Linked DNA regions of Ovis aries. The protein of the gene in region 1 interacts with the protein of each later gene in a biochemical or structural test. Links are inferred from orthologs where the notes say so. Each region holds a gene or a part of one and is shown on either strand. Other genes may lie near its edges.

Region 1 (10,151 bases):
GGGTATAAATTAATCACCGAAGGAAAAACAGTAGCTATGCACTGGAGGCACCACCTTAACCAAGTGATCACCAATCAAAGGAAATATTCATATAACCAAAGAAAGTATCAAAAATTAAAGCAAAAAGAAAAAGGTAATCCTTAAAACAGCAGTGTCAAAACTGAAATGAACTCATAAAGTTGTGCTATATCCACACAGAGAAATAAAGTATTTCAAGTGGCTTTTCTTGGGGTTTTTCTGTGTGTGTGTGTGTGTGTGTGTGTAATGTAGTCTAAGGACAAAAAGAATTGCATGGAAATAAACATAGTTTCATAACATACTTTATATATGTTGAAAATTCATGTATACCGTGTAAGCAAACAAGGTTTTCATTGTAAGAGAAAAAGAAATACAAGCATAAAATTAAAGATCCTATAATATTAAATTAGACCCTTACAAATTACCAAAAGAGAATTAAAGTAGTAATTTCACAGTGGAGAAAAAGACTGCTGTAAGACCAGTTTGCACCAATTTCAATTTCCTGAACTTGATAACTAGGTCCTGTGTCGTGGTTAGGTAAAAGAATTGTTTTTAGGAAATATACACTGAAGTACTAAGTAGTAAAGGCCAGAATGTGTACAACTTACTATCATGTTGTTTGGGACAAAAACAATACACACACATACACACACATATAATGAGAGATCCCCACCCCAGTTATGTATTTTCTAATTCTGCTCTCTGAAGAGACCTAGAAACAACGACAAACCAAGCAATGAGATGTGGTTTTGTAAGAAAATGTCTATCCTTTTAGAGAGATGCGTACGGAAGTTCTTGGGGGTAAAATGGCAAGATGTCTGGAATTAACTTCAAAAATACTTCAAAGGAACAAACAAGGAGCTATGAAGCAAACACTACAAATCTTAGCAAGTGTTGACTCTGGCGGTGATGTGGGTCCCACGCACATTGTGCTCCATGTGTGTATCTGAAGCTTCTCAACATTTTTTCCAATGAACCATGCAGGGCAATATCAACGATTTAAAAAATATATATTAAGAATTATTCAGGCATGGCATTTAGCCACTCTCTTCTCTCCGGACATGACAGGTCTGACTCAGTCACAGTAAGGTCTGTCTTCCCTGACAGGGCTATGGGGAAAGGCATTTGCCACATAAGGATGGGGACCATGGATTCAAAGACTGGGGCCCATCCTACTGCACACCTGAGCTTTGGGGACCATCCATTCACACACAGAGGCAGGCAAGGCTGTTTGTCTACCCACACTCTGGTTTACCTTTATTGAGGATGGTGAGAGGCTTCCGGTTGCTGGGGTCCAGGCTACTGGGAGCAATTGAAAACCTCGGTGGAATGGTGAGGCAGGTGATGGGGAGGCGGGCAGGGATATAGCCGGAAGTGAAAAACTCGTCATTGAGCAGCTCGTGAATGGTTGGACGGGCACTGGGATCTGGCTGAAGCATCTTCTTGATGAGAGAGGAGGCCACGGGGTTGATGTGCTGGAGGGAAGGTGGGGAGTCATAAGCAGGATATGACACAGGACCAACCCAGCTGCTGCACCACCACCCACTACCCGGCCCCAAATACACCATGTTCAGTGGCTATAAACGTCCCAAGTTTCCACTGGCAGCTTTACTAAGTTGACAAGTTGCTCACCACTAGAACAGCACTTGAAAACAAAGGCTTGGAAGTCATAAAGGCCTGGTGTAAGTCCCAGTTCTGTCCCTCAGCACCAGCTGTGCCAACCAACCCAACTTTCTGGGCCTTTGTATCTTCATCTATAAAGTGGGGACACAGCACCAAGCTTGGAGCCCTGGCAAGGAGACCCAACCCAGGGTAGGTCAAATGCACAGTAAAGCCTAGCATCAACTTTGTACTTACTATCTACCAGCAAAATATTGTAAGCACTTCGTGTAGATGAACTCACTTAACCCTCAGAGAAACACCCAAGGACTGAAGCTCTCTAGTACCATCCCTCTTTAGCAGATGAGGAAATAGGCACAGAGAAGTCAAGTGCCTAAGATACATCCCGAGTGAGTGGTGGAGCCAGCACCCACACCGAGGCAGTCAGGTGCAACCCCCACACTGGGAACCGCTCTACTCGGCCCAATAATTGACCCTCTGTAACGGATTCAGCCCATCCATCCTGATGGAGACAGGGCTCTTGGCTTCACATAAGACAAAGATGCCAAACTGTGGAAGCAGCTGTGTGCCAGACTGCTGCCAACTATCCCTCTCAATGCACTCTTGCTGGGGGCTGCAAAAGCACGCCACTTCGCCTTCACGGTGGTTCGAGATTCTGTGAGCGCTCGCTGTGTGCAAGATGCTCTGGGGCAGGGACTCCACTTTACAGATGGGAAACTGCAGCTCAGAAGACTCAGGCCATTTGTCCATTGTGATCTGGCTAAAAAGTGGCAGAGCCCATCTGAACCAAGACAGTCCACAGCCAGGCTAAGCAGCACTTCTCCGTCTGCCCCTACTCTGGCTCTTTCTCTCTGTTTTTCACGTCTTTTGGGTTATCTCCCCAACGGATGAAAGCCTGCAAACTCTCATCCCAAGAAAAACTGTTTCTGTACACATACATCAGCCTCTGTATGCAATTTCAGACAGGACCCTCTAAAGCTGTTACACTTACCCATGGGGTGGCACTGACCCATCTCTTTCCCCCGGAAATGGCTGGGCTCTGTAAATCACTTGGTGGGGGAGGGAATTAAATAAAACAAATGTAAACTTAAAGTGGTTTTAGTCACCTTGGGAATACTGTATTCATTGTTCTTGATCCGGAGGTAGGTCTCTTTTAGGCAAGAGGTCTCAAAAGGTGGCTTGCCCACTAACAAGGTATACCTGTAAGCACAAGGAGGGATTTGGCTCAAGGCTCCCAACCAAAACCCAGATGCAGGGAGGAATCCTCTCAGGGCCAGAAAGGAAGTCAGACATCTTTTGGGCATTCACTGTGACTCTGGGGCCCCAGAGGACAATTCACAAGTTCACTAAGCAGCCCCAGGAGCCACGACACTGGCAGGGAGGTACCCTCAGTAGAATACAGGTGATGAAACTGGGTTCTAATGGACCAGTGACTTTTTAGCTATAGCCTGCGGTAATCTAGGGGCCAGAGGCTGCCAGCTAACATGGAACAGGTCCAAGCAGGGGTCACTTTCCTTGAGGCAGCCCCACAGTTAATAGTTCTGTACTTTAGGCTGCAAGTTTTCATGTGGGAAATTCCAAGGCAAAGAAGTAGGAAAGCCATTTCTAACTCTCCAGTATCCAGGGAAACAACAAAAGGGGTAACACCTGAACAGGCCCAACTCTCTGCCCACCACCCACCTCTGATGGCCTTGACCCAGACAGACCACAGGACCTCCTCCTGCCAGCACCACTCCTGGCCTAATTCTTCCCACCCAATGCTGCTTTTTAGATCAGTGGTTCTAATACTTTATTGTGCATAGAAATCACTCAAGGGTCTTAATACAGATTGTGATCCAGTTAGTCTGGGTCTTGAGATTCTGCGTAACAAGTTCCTACGTGATGCTGCAGCTGGTCTGCCGTACTTTGAATAGCAAGGGATTAGAGCAAGTTTGTGGAGACATTCCCTCCCTCATTCCCTGAACCCACAGCCCAGGCTGCAGGAATCCTACAGGATATACCAATTCAGCAATGAGGGTTCCTTCAGAGACCATCTGTCCTCTGGAACAGTCTTTCCAAAGGCGGAAAGGTCTGCAGGATAAAGCCTGCCAAGTGAGATGTCCAGAAAGCCCCTTGCTGAGACTGGTGGGTCCTGAGACAACTCCCAACTTACATGATGCACCCAATGGACCATACGTCCACCTCGAAACTGTGCCCTTTCTTGCTCAGCACCTCAGGAGCTATGTAATTAGGAGTCCCGCACAGGGTCTTCTTCCGTTCCCCGTCATACTCCACTTTGGTTGCCAGTCCAAAATCCCCTGGGACAGAGGGAGGAAGAGGGAGGCTCAGATGCCAGCTTCTGTCGTCTGTCAATGCAGACAGCTGGTTCAGCTGGTAACCATCAAGAACCAGGGTCAAGTGATCTCTCAAAGCCTCTAGTCCTTGTGTACAGCAAGGACTAGATTCCTGTTACCCAGGAATCCTCCCACCATGCTGGCCCTAGGGAAGGGCCTCCCAAAGACTCTCATCACCCCTCCCCTTAGAAAGGAGGGGTTTACTTCTAAAAGGGAACTGACAGGGATCTGCTAAGTCGCTTCAGTCATGTCTGACTCCATGTGACCCCACAGACAGCAGCCCACTAGGCTCCTCCGTCCCTGGGATTCTCCAGGCAAGAATACTGCAGTGGGTTGCCATTTCCTTCTCCAACACATGAAAGTGAAAGTGAAGTCGCTCAGTCGTGTCCGACTCTTCGTGATCCATGGACTGCAGCCTACCAGGCTCCTCCATCCACGGGATTTTCCAGGCAAGAGTACTGGAGTGGGGTGCCATTGCCTTCTCCGACTGACAGGGATAGCAAAACTCAAACACCTTCAGGGATTAAGCAAGTAAATGTCAAGATGGCTACTTGGCAAGTTTGTGAGGAAGTGATACGGAGGGGTGGGGAATGTGGCAAACCATAGGGCATCTAAAGGGAACAGCTGCTGTTCAGTACAGCAAAGAGCTGTCTTGAGGGAACGCTACCCCTGTACTGCTGGAGCTCTCGAGTGTTTAAAAGGAGCTCCAAATTCAAAGTTTTACATCAAGGCTCTCAGTTTAAAAAAGTGAAAATGAGGAGCGGCTTCCGTGATGGCTCAGTGGTAAAGAATTCACCTGCCAATGCTGGAGAAACAGGTTCCATTCCTGGTCGGTGAGGATCCCATGTGCCACAGAGCACCTAAGCCCATGTGCCACAACTACTGAACCTGTGCTCTAGAGCGCTGGAGCCACAACTGCTGAAGCCTGCGCTCCACAAGGAGAAGCCACTGCAATGAGAAATCCGCACATGCGACGCAGAGTAGCCCCCACTCACCGCACCAGAGAAAGGCATGCAGCAGCGGAGACCCAGTGCAGCCGAAATAAGTAAATTGAAAAAATATTTTTAAAAAGTGAAAACAAATCCAAATTCTTAAAAAAAAAAAACAAACTGTATAGAACACACTGCCCCCCTCAAAGCACATCTGCAGACAAGACACTGGTTTGTAGCTCTTTAAGTTCCTGTCCTAAGAGAGGATTCTACAGCCAATCAACAGCCCAGACTTCCTACCATCCTCTTCCTCTCTCCCTTGTCTCTTTCCAAATTTCCTCTCCCTCACCCTCCCTCCCAGCTCCTCCTCATTCCCACTGCATGTCAAATGCCCTTGCAGTCCCAGCTCCTTACCTATTTTCACCTCCAGATCCTCGTTCAGGAAGAGATTGCCCAGCTTGAGGTCTCTGTGAATAACGCGGTTTCCGTGCAGGTACTGGCAGCCCAGGACGATCTGCCGCAGGTAGTAGCGGGCCTCGGGCTCCGTGAGAGCTTTCCTCCGCTTGTGCAGCTCCAGGAGAGACTGGGAGCAGGAGGGAAGGAGAAATGGGAGCCGGTGCTCAGACCCAAGGCAGGGAGGGAGTGTCATTAGGTAAAGGCAGCCAGGACGCTACTAACCATTTCTTCAGGACAACTGCGATCCAGACTCCCCCCCCCCCCAAAACCAGGCCGCAACAGTTCATAGCAACCCTCTCCCACTGGCTCCCTCCCAAAACCCTTACCTGGGACCCCTCTCTCAGACCCCTCCGGAAGCTCAGAGACCCCAGTATCCCGGTCCCGGAACTCTTGGCAGCAACAGGTCCCTTTCCTGCCCCTCCCCTCCCCCGGAAGCTCCGAAGTCTGGCTCCAACTACCCTCTGCCTGACCCAACCCTACTCGGGAAAGTGAGGGTCCGCAATATCCCTTACCTAGCAACTCCAAAGCCCTGGCGTCCATAAGCAAGGTTCTCCCGCACCTCCCCCAATCCGCCCAACTCCTAGCGTTCAGAAGCCGCCTTCCCTAGAGGCCCCAAGTGCCGAGAACCTTCCCTCTCCCCAAGACTTTCTCCATTTCCAGTTCCAGGTTCCCAGCACCTCTTCCCTAGCAGCTCTGAGCCCCGGGGCGCCCCTTCCCCAGCAGCTCCGGTTCCCAGTGCCCCAACCCCTGACGCCAGGGCAGTTCCAGTTCCCCAGCAGCGACACTCACCCTCCGGCGGCAGAGCTCCAACACCACGAACACGAAGTCGTTGTCTTCGAAAAAGCCGTGGAAGCCTACGACGTGCTGGTGAGCGAGGCTGCGGTGAATGGATATCTCCATGGACATCTTCTCCTTTTGGTGCGGTTTGAGCAACAGCGACTTAGGCACGATCTTGCCCGCGAACACCTCCTTAGTGTCCGCATCCGAGATCTCAAAGCACTTGGCAAAGCCACCCTTCCCCAAAAAGCGACCCCGTAGATAGCGCCGCCGGCTGCGAGGGTCCACTAGGACCTCCGGAATCTCTTTCGCCGGCGGGGCGGCCGTCGGAGCCCCGGGAGCTGCAACTCCGGGCGCTTTCCCTGGGTCGGCTGGTGCCCGCCCCAGCTTCCCTGCAGTTGCCGCCGCACTCATGTTCCCGGAGTTGCTCAGCGGACCTAGCAGGGTCTAGGCAGAGGCTTGGCACGGCTCTGCCTCTCCTCGAATTCAAACGCGGCGCCGGGAACGTTACAAGAGCCTACGCGCTACTGATTGGCCGCGGGGATTTAAAATCCAAACCCGCCCGCCGCGCGGCACTCTGGGAGCGCTCGGCACTGCAGCCGCCTTTAAACTCTCACCCAGGCCCTGGGAGGAGCTTGATTGGCAGGGATGGCGGACGGAAGACACGTGGGATGCCTGGGAAACCAAAGCTGGTGTGGGGCTGCTGAGACCCCGCCCCAGAAGAGGGTGCGTTCAGGGTTTCTCCTTTCTCGACGGCAGGGGAAGCTCCTGCAGTCCGCGAGGACCTCCTCCAGGAAGCTTTTCCCAGCACCTTCCTCCATCCCCACCTCGCCTTCTAGATTATAAACTCTGAGAATAGAGACCTAGAATGAGAGACAGCATGGGGGAGCCCTAACATCCGCCCCGGAAGTCACCAGCTCTCTTCCAAATCACCCCATAAACTAAAATCGAAGTCTAAAGAGAATGCTTGCCAGGCAAACGCATCTTCCAGACAAACCCCCTACTCTTCTTCAAATAACAGCAGGGGCCACCAACATCACCAACACCTGGGAGCTTGTTAGAAAGCCAAAGCTTCAGGCCTCAACGCAGACCCCCCCAATTCAGAATCTACCCAGTGATTCCCACACATATTGAAGTTTGAGAAGTACAGTACCAGAACCCCACCACCCCCGCCAGGGTCATTCTGCAAGAAAATTGTCTGGCTGGCTCACTGCTCTATTTCCCAGTGCCTAAAATAGTGGACCCTCAAGTGTTTTGTAAGAGGGAAAGATGACAGGTTGGCAGAATGCCTGGCAAACTGGTAAGCCAAGGTCAAATTTGGCTGCAGAGGTGTTTTGTTTGGTCTTTCACTTTTTAAAATTTGGATTCATATACAGGAGTGAAAAATCAAGACAGCTCACATAAAAATGCAACTTTGAAAAAACTATTAGCTGTTGCAACTCTATGCTTACTTAACATACCTTCCCAGTTTGTCAGAGTTCCCTGATAACCCTCCTTTGCCCCTTTGCCTGTCTGGCTTCCATAGATACTTAAGTGGCAACCCTGAGAATCACTCAAGTTGTAAGCCCAGCATCCTATGATGTCTTTGCTAGGAGTCAGCAAAAGTCATATCAGTTATCTCTTTACATAACTCCCAATAAACTCAGAGGCAATGAAGACATCTTTCCTACCCCATGTCCCAAGCTCTCAGCACAATGCTTGGCAAAAAGGAGTGACTAAAATGCTTTATAAATAAAAGGGAGTTGTTTTTAAAAATTATTATTTTTTAATCCCTGTGGTGTACAATATTGTTTTATCTTTTTATAAAGTTGAATCTATGTACCGAAAAAGTATACATCTGTTAATTGGACAGCTCAGTGAATTTTCACAAAATGAGTACACCTCATGTAAGCAGCACCCAGACTGAGAAAGAGTACACGACCAACCACCCCGTAAGTCCTCCTTGTGCCCTGGGGCGGGGGGGGGGGGGCCCAAGACCATCCCCCTACAGGACTCAGCATATAGTTCTACTCACAGATGACTAGGATTTATTACAGTGAAAGGTTATGAAGCAAAATCAGCCAAGGGAAAGGTGCATAGAGCAAAATCCAGAGGAAACCAGGCACAAGCTTCCCAGAGTCTTCTCCCAGTGGAGTCAGTCACACAGGACACAACTCCTCCAGCAATGAGTGTGACAACACGTGTGAAATGTTATCTACCAGAGAAGCTCATCAGAGACTCCAGCCCAGGGCTTTTCTGGGGTTTGGTCACACAGGCACCCTCTGCCTGTAACACACCAAAATTCTACACTCCTGGAAGGAAAGCAGGCATGCAGCATAAACCACAGTTTACACAGTTTAAATTCAGTAAGCAACTCCTGTCATTTAGGGAATGGTGAGAACTCTCCTGAAATTCAAGAACCCAGATGCCAGCTGAGGGTCAATCTTCCAGCTGACGGCACTGGGAGCTTTCCTTCAGGAAAAGGGGAAAGTTTCCAGAATATTTCTGAGAAATGAAGATCATAAATGCTCTCCCCGCCCCCAAAGCTCCCTGGGTGCCAGGCTTTTGATCAGCAATACTAACCTGACATTTTTTCAATAATCTTTTATTCTCATCCAGGCCTTTCATCCAGAAGGGCTGTGTGCAAGAGACATGGGAATAATTTTGCAGATAAATATTTTAATATAATTTAACTGGAAAAATATTCAGGAATTGATCAGGATATGTTATGGGCTGAACTGTGTTCTCCCCAAATTATATGCTGAAGTCCTAACATCCAGTACAGAAGGTGACTGTATTTGGAGATATGGCCTTCAAAGAGGTGATTAAAGTAAAATGGGTGGGCCCATCCAATATGACTGGTGTTCTTATAAGAAGAGATTAAGACACAGACATTCAGACAGAGGGGCAACCATGTGAAGATACAGTGAGAAGGCTGCCAGGTGCAGGCCTAGGAGACAGGCCTTAGGAGAAACGTGCCAACTGCTTGCTCTTGGACTTCTAGCCTCTAGGACTGTGAGCAAATACATTTCTATTTTTTTAAGCCATCCAGTCTGTGCTATTTTGTTATTGCAGTCCTAGCACACTAACAGAGGATGAAGTCCTGAATGTAAAAATTTTTACAGTGGGTTTATATAACCTTCCTGGAGAATCCCAGGGACGGGGGAGCCTGGTGGGCTGCCATCCATGGAGTCACAGAGTCGGACACGACTGAAGTGACTTAGCAGCATATAACCTTCCACCCCTTTTCCCCAGAGACAGCCTAGAAAAGATCAGTCCTTTTCCAGAGACAGCTACACCAGAGTAGTCACTCTGACTTACAAGGTGTGTGTACAGAGGGCAAAGTGAGGAGGCGGAGTAAGCCTATCAACCCGTGGTAGTAAAGTTACGGCTCACCCAGGAGGCTGAGCACACAAATCAAAAGCATCGAGCCACCCTCAGGGAAGGCCCAGAATCTGATATGTCAGAAGCAGGAGGTGGCCGGCGGTCAGAGTCTCTGTGATGTGCCCTCCTCCGACTTGCAGGTTTGGGCAGGGATCACAAGTCAGGATACAATCAGCCTCTGCATCAGACATAAAAGAGCTGATTAGCAGCTTGATTTTAGATGGTCCCGTCAAAGAATGACTCTTTCCTGTGGGCATTTGTATGTGACCCAGTTGGTACAGCCAGCATCCACGATGTATGCTGTCACCATTTAGAGCTCCAGAGAGGGGCCCTAAATCTCCAGTGGTCCCAGAGTCTGACTGAACTCTGCCCATGGAGCCTGGGTCTGCTTTCAGTTCAGCACTGCTCCTTGGGAAGCTGAAAGAGTGTACTGACAGCCAGTGTTAGGGTTCAGCTTAGAGTGAGGTCCAGGCAACGAGGGTCAGTGAACTGGGGATTCCAATCAAGCTGGGTACTTTTCTTCAGCAGAGGCAAAGGCGTGCTGCAGTGCCAGACAGCATGGTACCCCTTTTGTCAGTCTCAGAGTCCAAACTGACCCACTCAAAAACATGCATATCAGACTGGACAATCATCAACCTCTAAGGGTCAGACATCT
Region 2 (10,344 bases), on another chromosome or scaffold:
AAAATTGTAATCATAATCAAACATTTAAAAAAAGCTAATTTAGTTCTCTGGGAGGGATTGGGGGCAGGAGGAGAAGGGGATGACAGAGGATGAGATGGCTGGGTGGTATCACGGACTCGATGGACGTGAGTCTGAGTGAACTCCGGGAGATGGTGATGAACAGGGAGGCCTGGCGTGCTGCGATCCACAGGGTCGCAAAGAGTCGGACACGACTGAGAGACTGAACTGAACTGATGTCAAGGTAGCCAAATATTCAAGTTCATTTTATATATTTAAAACAAGAATAGTTATATGAAATATGTAAAGATAAATCATGACTGATAATTCAAAAATAAAATTACCTTGGAAGTAGCAATGCTGTTGACAAAGCTAATTTGCTGAAAGCCTTTTTCACTCATTGTTAAACATACTTCCCACCTGTGGTTTACTTGTTCATGGATAATTTTCAATGGATTGCCAGTTTCATCTACCTTGTCCTTCAGATACAGATCTACATAGCTACGGAATCCTTTCACCTAAAAAATAATAGTATTAATTTTTTTTTAAGTAAATGAAAAAGTAGGTTTTAATAAAGATGCTTCAAAACTTATGAAATGGTGTTCACTGATATGTATAAGAGGATGGTCACTAAAGGACACAAAAGGATTTACTTATAAGATTCTTTGAGAAAGACTTCAGTGAACTTAAGTAAGTTAACTGATTTTTTTAAAATGTGGCATTATGTTTTCTTTACAGGAACACATCTGAGAAGTGGTAAGAAAAACAAATGGGAGGAAAAAAAAAATCAACTTTGCTTTTGACGATGGTCACAAAGGTAAGTACCTCATTGCCTACATCCAATAAAATACTTACTGGAAGCCTATTTCCATTGAGATAGACCTTGACATCTTTAGTGGATCCAGCAATATCATATGCTCTTCTAACCATCAGTGCAACAATATCTTTGTCTAGGCTTTGCATTTTAAACTTAGACAAATCAGGGTGGAAGGTAATACATGTATAATCTTCTCCACTAAAGGGCTTGAGTTCCATCTCACCAGCTTTCCCCATGTTATCCATCCATGTCTATGGAAATAAAGAATAGAGAGAAAAAAATTCAAGTTATCTCACAAACTAGAATTAAATAACACAAATTTACAAGTCCTAAAACAAACACACAAACAAACACACACACACCCAACCAAACCAACCCCCACCCCTCAACTTCCCTAATATACATTTATGAGTAACTTTCTATGAGCTTCCCTAGTGGCTCAGAGGGTAAAGCGTCTGCCTGCAATGCAGGAGGCTGGGGTTTGATCCCTGGGTGGGGAAGATCCCCTCGAGAAGGATATGGCAACCCACTCCAGTACTCTTGCCTGGAAAATCCCATGGACGGAGAAGCTTGGTAGACTACAGTCTGTGGTGTCACAAAGAGTTGGACACGGCTGAGCGACTTCCCTTTCCCATGATTTAATAGATTATAAATTAAGTTAATTAAGTGGCATTTAATTTAATGCCACTATAAATTGCTACAGCATAATTTATAATCAAGGCACAAGATACTCATTTACTTACCTGTTTGAACATTTTCTTGTATTCTCTACTTGCTGTTTCCACAGTAAATTTGGTACTGAATATGTTACACAGTTTGGCTCCATAGCCATTTCGACCACCTGGGCAAATAAATGTAAAATATGATTTAATTGTTCTTATCGCATTTACAGCTTTATTTCTTAATCACTGGCAATGCTATTTAATTATGGAGATTTATTCCCATATTTTTAACCTTTAGGCCACAATCTTTGAAAAGATGTATTTTTTCAGCAACAAATGTGTTTTTTATTTTCCTCAGTACTCTACCTGTTACTTTCTTTTCTTCATCATCATAGTTGCTAGAAGTTAGGAGCTGTCCAAAGATGAGAGCTGGGACATACATCTTCTCAACTTTGTGTTCGACAACAGGAATACCTTTTCCATTATTCCATATACTAATTAAATTGTTTTCCCTAAGAAAAGAAGATTGATTTTTTTTTTTGTAAAACAGATGTTAAGCTAGTGCTTAATTCTTTTCATAGTTAAATACCATTGTCTCTAAAACACACATCTCAATTTCTTTATGACTCTTTATATATATACCTTCTGAAATTCAGCATACTTAGTTCCTAACAATTATGAAATAGGAGCCAAGAGGAAAAAAAAAATCAATCCTTTTCCAACACCTGGGCAGACACTGATAATACTGAAAAAATATGAAGCTTTAAAATGTTAGGATAAACAAAGGGAAATGAATTTTGCCCAATGGAAAGGACAAAATTTGGAAACAATATTATTACACCGCTTTTAAGAGGATCATCTGCACTGTCCCAGCTCCCTTAGCTTTCCCATCTGACAAAGCACACTGGCAAAACAAATATGAAAGAGCATCATCCATTGTAAACGTCCCTGCTCACCAACATAATGTTCAAAATTTATTTGGACTTATATTTTAGTTCTAACGACACACACTATGGTTCTCATTACACGTAGCTTAAAACTAGCTTAATATTTTTTCAAAGACTATGGTATCAAGTCCTTAGGAGCACTCAAGCACATCATTAACACATTTCCCAAAAAGAATCTAAAGTATAGTTTATGTTATAACTGATTAGGATACTAACAAAGGGAAGCAACACCCTGACTACCCACAAAAGGACATTTATAAGCAGAAAAGTTAGATCAAATTATTCTTTATCACCATCTGCTGGCTTACTGTTTGAACAGCATCATGAGAAAAAGTTATAGCTATAGACTCTGGAATACTTAGAGAACTTATTGGAGATGTTTATTGAAATATTTAGAAATAAAATGTTATAATGTCTATAATTTATTTTGAAATGATTAAAAATATAGATGGTACCAATATGGCAAAGTGTTGATAACTGTTGGATCTAGATGGTAGCTATCTAGATTGCTCATTTTAGCACTCTACCTTTCTGCAGTTTTGCAAAATTCCATTAAAAAAATGCTCAACTTTACTATAAATCAAGTAAATGCAATTAACAGCAACAGGGTGCTACAAAAAACAAAAGACTAAGCAGGAGACTTACGGGTCAATTGTGATTCTAATACAAGACATTTTTGGGTCCCTTTGTTTGTTGTCTGCAGCATTGACTGAAAGAAAAAACACATTTGTAAAAAGTTAAAGTATTTTAGAAAACACTCTTTACCTCTAAGATACAAAAAGAAAAAAAATCTCAGGCAGTGCAGGAGTAACATTGATGAGGTATTCATTTAGCAATTTTTATTCATAGGACTGTTTCTAAGAACTCAACTTCCTAGATTCCAGCAGACTGTCTAACCTTTGCCAACTGTTTTTTGGTAGGAATAATACTTCTCACATCTGACCAGCAGATCTTTGTATTAAGAATATACTTACCTAGAATCTCATCAAAGATTTTGTACAAACCAGGAACATAAGTGACTTCCCTATAGTTAATGCCAGTATCTTCATCGTAAACCCACATTTGCTAGAAATAAGACAAAGAAACAGGGTTACTTTATATATCTACTTCGTTTTATTATCATGGTTCCTGTAAAGTCTTCTCAGTTAGTATGACAATGTAGATGATAGCTTAGGCCAGTTGCAGAAGACAAAGTACATGAAATATAGAAAATTAACCTGGACAAGTATTCATCTTAACTACTTAGTAACTACATTTAATTAGCCTGATTTTACCTGGGTCACTGATTCCACAGAGCCAATGTAGGTGTCTGGGCGGAGCAGGATATGTTCCAGTTGTGTTTTCTTTTGATAGATTCTTTCAACAGACAATCTTTTCTTAGCATCTTCATTTTTCTTTGTTTTGCTGACTTGCATATTTTCGTTTACAGGCTAGGAATTTTTTAAAAAATTGAAGAAAAGGGATTTTGAATCATAGGTTTATCAGAAACCAGAAACAAAATACCTATCATAGTGATCTGCTTACACACACCAAAACAAATCAGACTTTTGGTAGGTTATCAGTGGAGCTGACATAGTGTTGTACAAACATGGCAATATAAGTTAACTGCAGCAGGTTCCCCCCAAGTGTCAGTTTAAACAGACATATTATTTTGCCCTGTGTATCTGACATGGAAATACTTCCATGCGTTAGATGCCATCAACAGCACACATCCCCTTTTTTCAGGTACTCCACACATATCTACTGAGTGCCTACCAGGTCTCAGGCACATAATAGATTCTACAGTAGCAGTTTGGGAGGATAGGGATTCCATCCTTTGGACACGTTAACGTTTTAAACACAGGAGGGACTTATTTTGAGCATCGGACCTGCCGGCTCCATAGTGGGAACCCTGTTCCTTGCTCTGCACTGTCCAAAGTTAGGGTCATCCAATCCCATTTTCAGCCCCAGGTGGGAGAGGAAAGCATCTCTCAGTGCCGCGTAAAGCTACATGCGGACCACGATCCCATCGACCTACACCGGGACCAAATGAATCTCTAGAAACAGTGAAACACAACGCCGCACCCTAGAAGCCAGTACAGCCAACAATACTTCACTACTAGCACCAGAAAAAGGTTTCATTCAGTCTCTTCGCGATCACGCCGAGCCCAGGGGACCCGAGTAGACGCGGAAAACCCGCGCCCAGCCCTCGGCGGCCGGACCACGACCCAGACGCCTCTCTCTCACCGGCAGCCGGAGAGATGCCGGGCCGCGCTGAGGCTCCGCGACGCCCCCCTCCCGCGAGCTGTACCTGTAGTGGCGACACCTCCATGGTGACGGTCGTGAAGAGGCTCGAGAACCCTGCAAGTGACTAAACCGGTGGGACCCTCGAGACAATCACGGAGCAAGCCTCTTCTCCACAGACGCACGTCGGTTAGGAGAGAGCTTCCCCTCCGGTTTGAACCTTCCTCTAGCCCGCCCAAACCAGATAGGCCAATCGTTGACGCGCTCTCATCAGTTCCGTCCCGAGAAACCAATCAAGGCTGTTTTTTTATATTCACCAATAAACAGCTGAGCTGGCCCGTTCGAATGAACCAATTAGAGGAGGGAGGCGGGACTAGAGGGTTTTAAAAGACACCACTCGGCGTCGTTGCTGAGGGACGGACAGGGAATCTAGCGAATGAGCAGGGGTAGTTTGTTCTCTCTGTGTAACTCCGGAAAAATGCGCTGTGAAAGTGGGATCCAGGTTGGGGGGAAAAAAAGGAGAGGATATGTATACCCCGAAGCTGGTATCTTCTTTCAGGTCCCTAAAATCTGAAGACTGTCCTCCATCCTGATTTTTTCTTTTTTCTTTTTTTAAAGGAACGGGAGTCCTAGCTCCGTTTCCTGGGAAAACTGAGCGCCAGCTTTCTGGACAAGCAGCCGGGGCATTCGGTTCAGTTCAGCAAACCGGGCGTCTGCCTCAAAGCCCGCCCCTCCACCCCTAGAGTTTATCTTTGAAGAAACAAAAGCCATGCTTGGCCGTACGTGAACGTAGCTGGGGTTTTCGTATAACGGCAGGGCATAGAGAGGCCACATAAAAGAGAGAGACCAGCGTTCAAAACCCCCGAAAGAGCGGCTTGAGGCAGCGACTTGTCAGTTAGAGGGGGTAATTTATAGTCACCGCCTCAGGAGTTGAGGATGGTTTAGGTGCCATTCTAAGGCAGTAACTTTTTCCTCAGACGACCAGCAGAATGTCCTCGTAGTTGTTACTTTTATTCTTCTCTGTGTTGTTCCCTGAACCCTGGAGTCCATATTTGACTGCTGCTGCTGCTAGGTCGCTTCAGTCGTGTCCGACTCTGTGCGACCCCATAGATGGCAGCCTACCAGGCTCCCCCGTCCCTGGGATTCTCTAGGCAAGAACACTGGAGTGGGTTGCCATTTCCTTCTCCAATGCATGAAAGTGAAAGTGAAGTCGCTCAGCCGTGTCCGACTCTTAGCGACCCCATGGAGTGCAGCCTACCAGGCTCCTCTGTCCATGGGATTTTCCAGGCAAGAGTACTGGAGTGGGGTGCCATTGCTTTCTCCGCCATATTTGACTAGGAAATGCCAAAGACCGAAATGTTTACTACTCTGACGTTTAAATGTTCAAATGTGTGTTTTTTCTTCCTGTCCTCAATCGATAATGTTAAAATGACAAAAAAGAAAAGTCATTGGCCTCACAAGATGCTAGAAAAAAATAACTGCACAATTTGAATGACTGTGAATTCCATCAGAAATATTAATACCTCCTTCCAATCATTATTCCCTGAGTTTCAACCCTGACTAGGCATTTTGCCAGTTGTGTGATCTTGATGAAGGCAGCTTCTCAGTTGCTTTCTTTTCCTCTGCTCAAAAAAGGGAATAAAAATAACAGCATTACCTCAGGGTAGTGTGAGGATTACAGGAAGATAAGGTGTTTAGAACAGTAGACCAACAGTTTCAGAATCAGAAAGCAGGGGTTTTCTTTACACTAGCATAAATTTGTGGGCTTAATCCTTTTTTTCCTTCTAAAACCAAGTCAACCTCCGCAGGGTATCCAACGCCCACTCTGCCGGCAAAGCCTCTGGGAAGGCCAGTGAGGCCAGTGAGGAGAGAGTATGTTGTGACCGGATGTCAAGGATGGAAGTGGCCCATGTGCTATGTGCCAAGTCACTTCAGTAGTGTCTGACTCTTTGTAACCCTATCGACTGTAGCCTGCCAGGCTAGGATAATTGGAAAAGCCAAAGGAATAGGGTTTTGGCATTGCTCTGGTCCCTATCCTCTTGGTTTCCTGGTCTCCATTGTTTACAGCTCCACTCTGCTCAACCATGTGCATTGATACAGAAAGGCAACCTTAATGCACCAGACCACCAGGGTCTCAGAGCAGTTGTAGGGAAGCCCATTCAGTAGCTTCTGTCCATCTAGAAGGCTGATGGGCTTGGGGTCCAGGGCAAGCCTGTCATTCCCTATAGCTTCCCCAAGACAGAGGATTACCTTGAAAGTCAGACACCAGCCATGCTGCCTTCTATCTCTTGGAACACAAAGGCCCCATGTATTAAGGGTGGGTGGGCATCCTTCCTTAAAATGGCAATGCAGCCTCTGCTTCATGGCCTCTACCTTGCCCAGTCTGCAGTTCCCTGCAAGACCCATCTGAGGATGAGGCAATAGGAATTTAATAAGCTGCTCCAGTTCTGTTTTCTGGTATCCAGTTTTAAATCCCCCATGCATTTTAGCCTGATCCTGATTGTGTGGGTCTTTGTTCCAATGGCCCTGAAGCATAGCTGGGGAGTCAAAAGGACTGTGCAGTCACACATGCCTGAATCAGATATCTCCCTGAGTCTCAGTTTCCCATGCCAGTATCTATTATCAAAGGTGTGTGTGTGTGCTAAGTTGCTTCAGTTGCTAAGTTGTGTGCAACTCTTTGTGACCCTATGGACTGTAGCCCACCAGGCTCCTCTGTCCATGGGATTCTCCAGGCAAGAATATTGGAGTGAGTTGCCATGCCTTCCTCCAGGGGATCTTCCTGACCCAGGGATCAAACCCACATCTCTTATGTCTCCTGCATTGGCAGCAGGGTTCTTTACCATTAGTGTCACCTGGAAAGCCCTTTATCTAAGGTACACAGGGCTAAATGAGATATGGAAGCACCTAAGACAGCCTTCCAGTCCTCTAGTACAGGGGGTGGGGGTGGGGTGGTAGGGGGTGGGTTTCTCTTCTGGACAAAAGTTGTTTCTCTTTTAGCCCCTCCTCCTTTCCAGAGACTATCACAGAGGATCCTGCAGGACTTGAGTGGGGAGAAGGGGAGGAAGGAAGTCTGGATGAGTGTCCTGGCAGGCATTGTCCACAAACAGGGAGTTCTGGGGGCCTGACAGCCTATAGTCGTGGGAGGCAGGAAGGGATTGGGAGTCAGTTCCAAGGAGAGAGGGGGCTGCTATCATTCTCATGATCCTCCCCAACTTCCACCTTCCCCCAACTCTGCAGGGGCCCAAACTACTACATACTCTGACCTTATTCCCATCTCTACTCTGACCTACAGGGGTGAAGTTGAGTACCTGAGTCAGACTGCTGATTTGTTGGATGTATGACCTTGGGCGAGTCACTCAGGCTCACTGTACTTCCGTTTCTTCATCTAAAATGGAGATGATGTGGGATGTCCCTGGTGGTCCAGTGGTTAAGACTTCGTCTTCCAATGCAGCGGATGTGGGTTCGATCCCTGTTCAGGAAGGTAAGATCTCACATGCCTCGCAGCCAAAAAAACCAAAACATAAAACAGAAGCAGTATTGTAACAAAATTTTATGTGAACTTTAAAAGAATGGTCCACACACACACACACAAAAAATAATAATAAGGATAATGAGAGTACCTTCACAGAGGGTGAGATAATACATGCAAAGCACTTAGTGCGATCCTTGGCAAATAGTAAGTGCTCAAAACACATTAGCAGATACTACCTCTACTCCTTGTCAAGATCTTCCTCCCTTGTCCTGGCCAGTTTTCCCAAGTCCACTCTTCCGTTGACTTAAAAAAAATGCACAACATGAGAGTTGCGAGTTAAGTTTTATTTGGGGCAAAATGAGGACTGCAGCCTGGGAGACAACACCTCAGATAACTCTGAGAAACTGCTCCAAAGAGGCAGACGGGGAGGGATAGTTAAATATGTGATTTTGGTGAAGGAGAAATAAATGCAGTCAACCACAAATTTTACCGAAAGTTTTCTGCTAGTCTCATGAAGCTTTCTGCTAGTCACGAGGAACAGACATCACCATGAAGGATTTTAGTGCTTTTCTAAGTATGAAGGGATACAAGAATTGGGCTCATAGATTCACTCCTGAAACTGTCTGAAGACCTGTTCTGCAAGCTTCCCCCCAACTCCCCACCCCCCAGTACAGAGTGTCTAATTTCTGCTGTCCACCCTGGATTCCTTTCAGGGAGTGTCGAAGGTCAGCAGTTGCAGCAGCACTTGATTTAATCCTGTAGAGGTAGATGGCAAGCACCCATGGCAAGTGCCAATTTGTAGTTAATGCTTGCAAAACCAATTCAAAATTTCCCTTTTCCAGGGAGTCTCCAGGGACTCTTCTCAGGCCAACTTATAAAACTGAGGCTCTTTCAAGACCTTTGGATTATATTTTCATATATGGATGAGATCCTTTCATAAGCATTTCTGCTAGATGTCCACTTTCTGTCTCTCTGCTCAGAAGCAGGAGGAGGGGCTCCACCCTCCAGCTGGACACCCCCCTTGAAAGGGCAGTATTTCTTTCATATAGAGTGAAGTTGATCTAGGTGTACTGACATAGAAATATCATGAAGATATATTGTTAAATTTTTAAAAGTGAGGTGAAGAATAGTATGTAGGGCATAATCCCATGTGGGTAAATGTTCATGCTTTGAAAACAGCTAAAGGAATTATAAATATATGGAGGCAGAGAAAACTTTTCATATTTTCCCTTCTATCCTATTTGAAAAATTTGAAGTTATGAACCTATTATTTTTTAATGTGGAAAGTTAGCTTAAATTAGGAGAATTTAAAAGATTTCCCTCAATAATTGTAGGTCTGGGCAATTCTCTGTTTCATTACTTTTTGCTATGTGATTTTCCAAGTGTTTTCATCCATGTTCTACACCCTTCTTACTCTCATCCCTTTTCTCCACTTCACTGAAGGTGAGGCATACCTGACTCTGCATGTTTGTGTGAGAATATAAGTCCCACTAGGGAAGTCCCTCTGAAGTGTCTTCTGACATTAATCTATCTGACTTTAACCTGACTACCCCTTCTGAGTCCTCCACAGGGTTAGGTCTGTAGGGCCCAATGCACAGATGATCTGAGAGACTAGGCAAGTTTGAAAGGGATGGAGTGGAGTTAGGAGCAAGTTATTGACCTAAAGAGAACAGAAAACTATACCCTTTTGTTAGGAGAATTGAAGAAAATAATGGTCTTTTCCAAAGCCCTACAGCTAAGTACTGCTTCCTTGTTTCTCTCTCTTCCCTCTTGATCATGAAAGAAGCGACACAGGCAGAAGGCAGGCATTTTACAAAGTACAGAGAAGGCTCTCAGTTGGAGCTGGATATTAGTCTTTTTTTAAACAAACAAACAAAAAAACAAAACTAGAGGAACCAGAGGCTCCAACAGGAGAAAACCTCCATGGGCTTTTGGAATCAAGCTGTTTGGAGCCCTCTGAATGTATAAGAAGTTTTGACCTGATAGATAAACATTTAGGGCAAGTATAAGGAAATATTCTATTTGAGGTTGGGAAAAATCCAGGATATGTTTAGCTTTGATAGGTTGTTCTAAGTCGCTTCAGTTGTGTCCAACTCTTTGAGACTCTGTGGACTGTAGCCCGCCAGGCTCCTCTGTCCATGGGATTCTCCAGGCAAGAATACTGGAGTGGGTTGCCTTACCCTCCTCCAGGGGATCTTCCCGACCCAGGGATGGAACTCACATTTC

What was found. The genes of interacting proteins can lie anywhere in the genome.
Region 2: of the proteins of PLK1 (region 1) and TOP2A, one has a biochemical effect on the other in vitro, tested with the Homo sapiens proteins (2 studies listed by BioGRID). The link is inferred for Ovis aries from reciprocal best matches to the Homo sapiens genes PLK1 and TOP2A.

Annotation. Positions count from the first base shown.
Region 1 is NC_056077.1:21,878,399-21,888,549, reverse strand, and holds the start of PLK1 (serine/threonine-protein kinase PLK1), read right to left. Parts: upstream 6,655-10,151; 5' UTR 6,548-6,654; coding exon 6,146-6,547; intron 5,484-6,145; coding exon 5,315-5,483; intron 3,936-5,314; coding exon 3,791-3,935; intron 2,839-3,790; coding exon 2,745-2,838; intron 1,494-2,744; coding exon 1,274-1,493; intron 1-1,273. UniProt on the Homo sapiens protein: Serine/threonine-protein kinase that performs several important functions throughout M phase of the cell cycle, including the regulation of centrosome maturation and spindle assembly, the removal of cohesins from chromosome arms, the inactivation of anaphase-promoting complex/cyclosome (APC/C) inhibitors, and the regulation of mitotic exit and cytokinesis.
Region 2 is NC_056064.1:40,397,102-40,407,445, forward strand, and holds the start of TOP2A (DNA topoisomerase 2-alpha), read right to left. Parts: upstream 4,844-10,344; 5' UTR 4,735-4,843; coding exon 4,714-4,734; intron 3,854-4,713; coding exon 3,698-3,853; intron 3,489-3,697; coding exon 3,398-3,488; intron 3,133-3,397; coding exon 3,069-3,132; intron 1,989-3,068; coding exon 1,843-1,988; intron 1,656-1,842; coding exon 1,558-1,655; intron 1,066-1,557; coding exon 853-1,065; intron 516-852; coding exon 342-515; intron 1-341. UniProt on the Homo sapiens protein: Key decatenating enzyme that alters DNA topology by binding to two double-stranded DNA molecules, generating a double-stranded break in one of the strands, passing the intact strand through the broken strand, and religating the broken strand.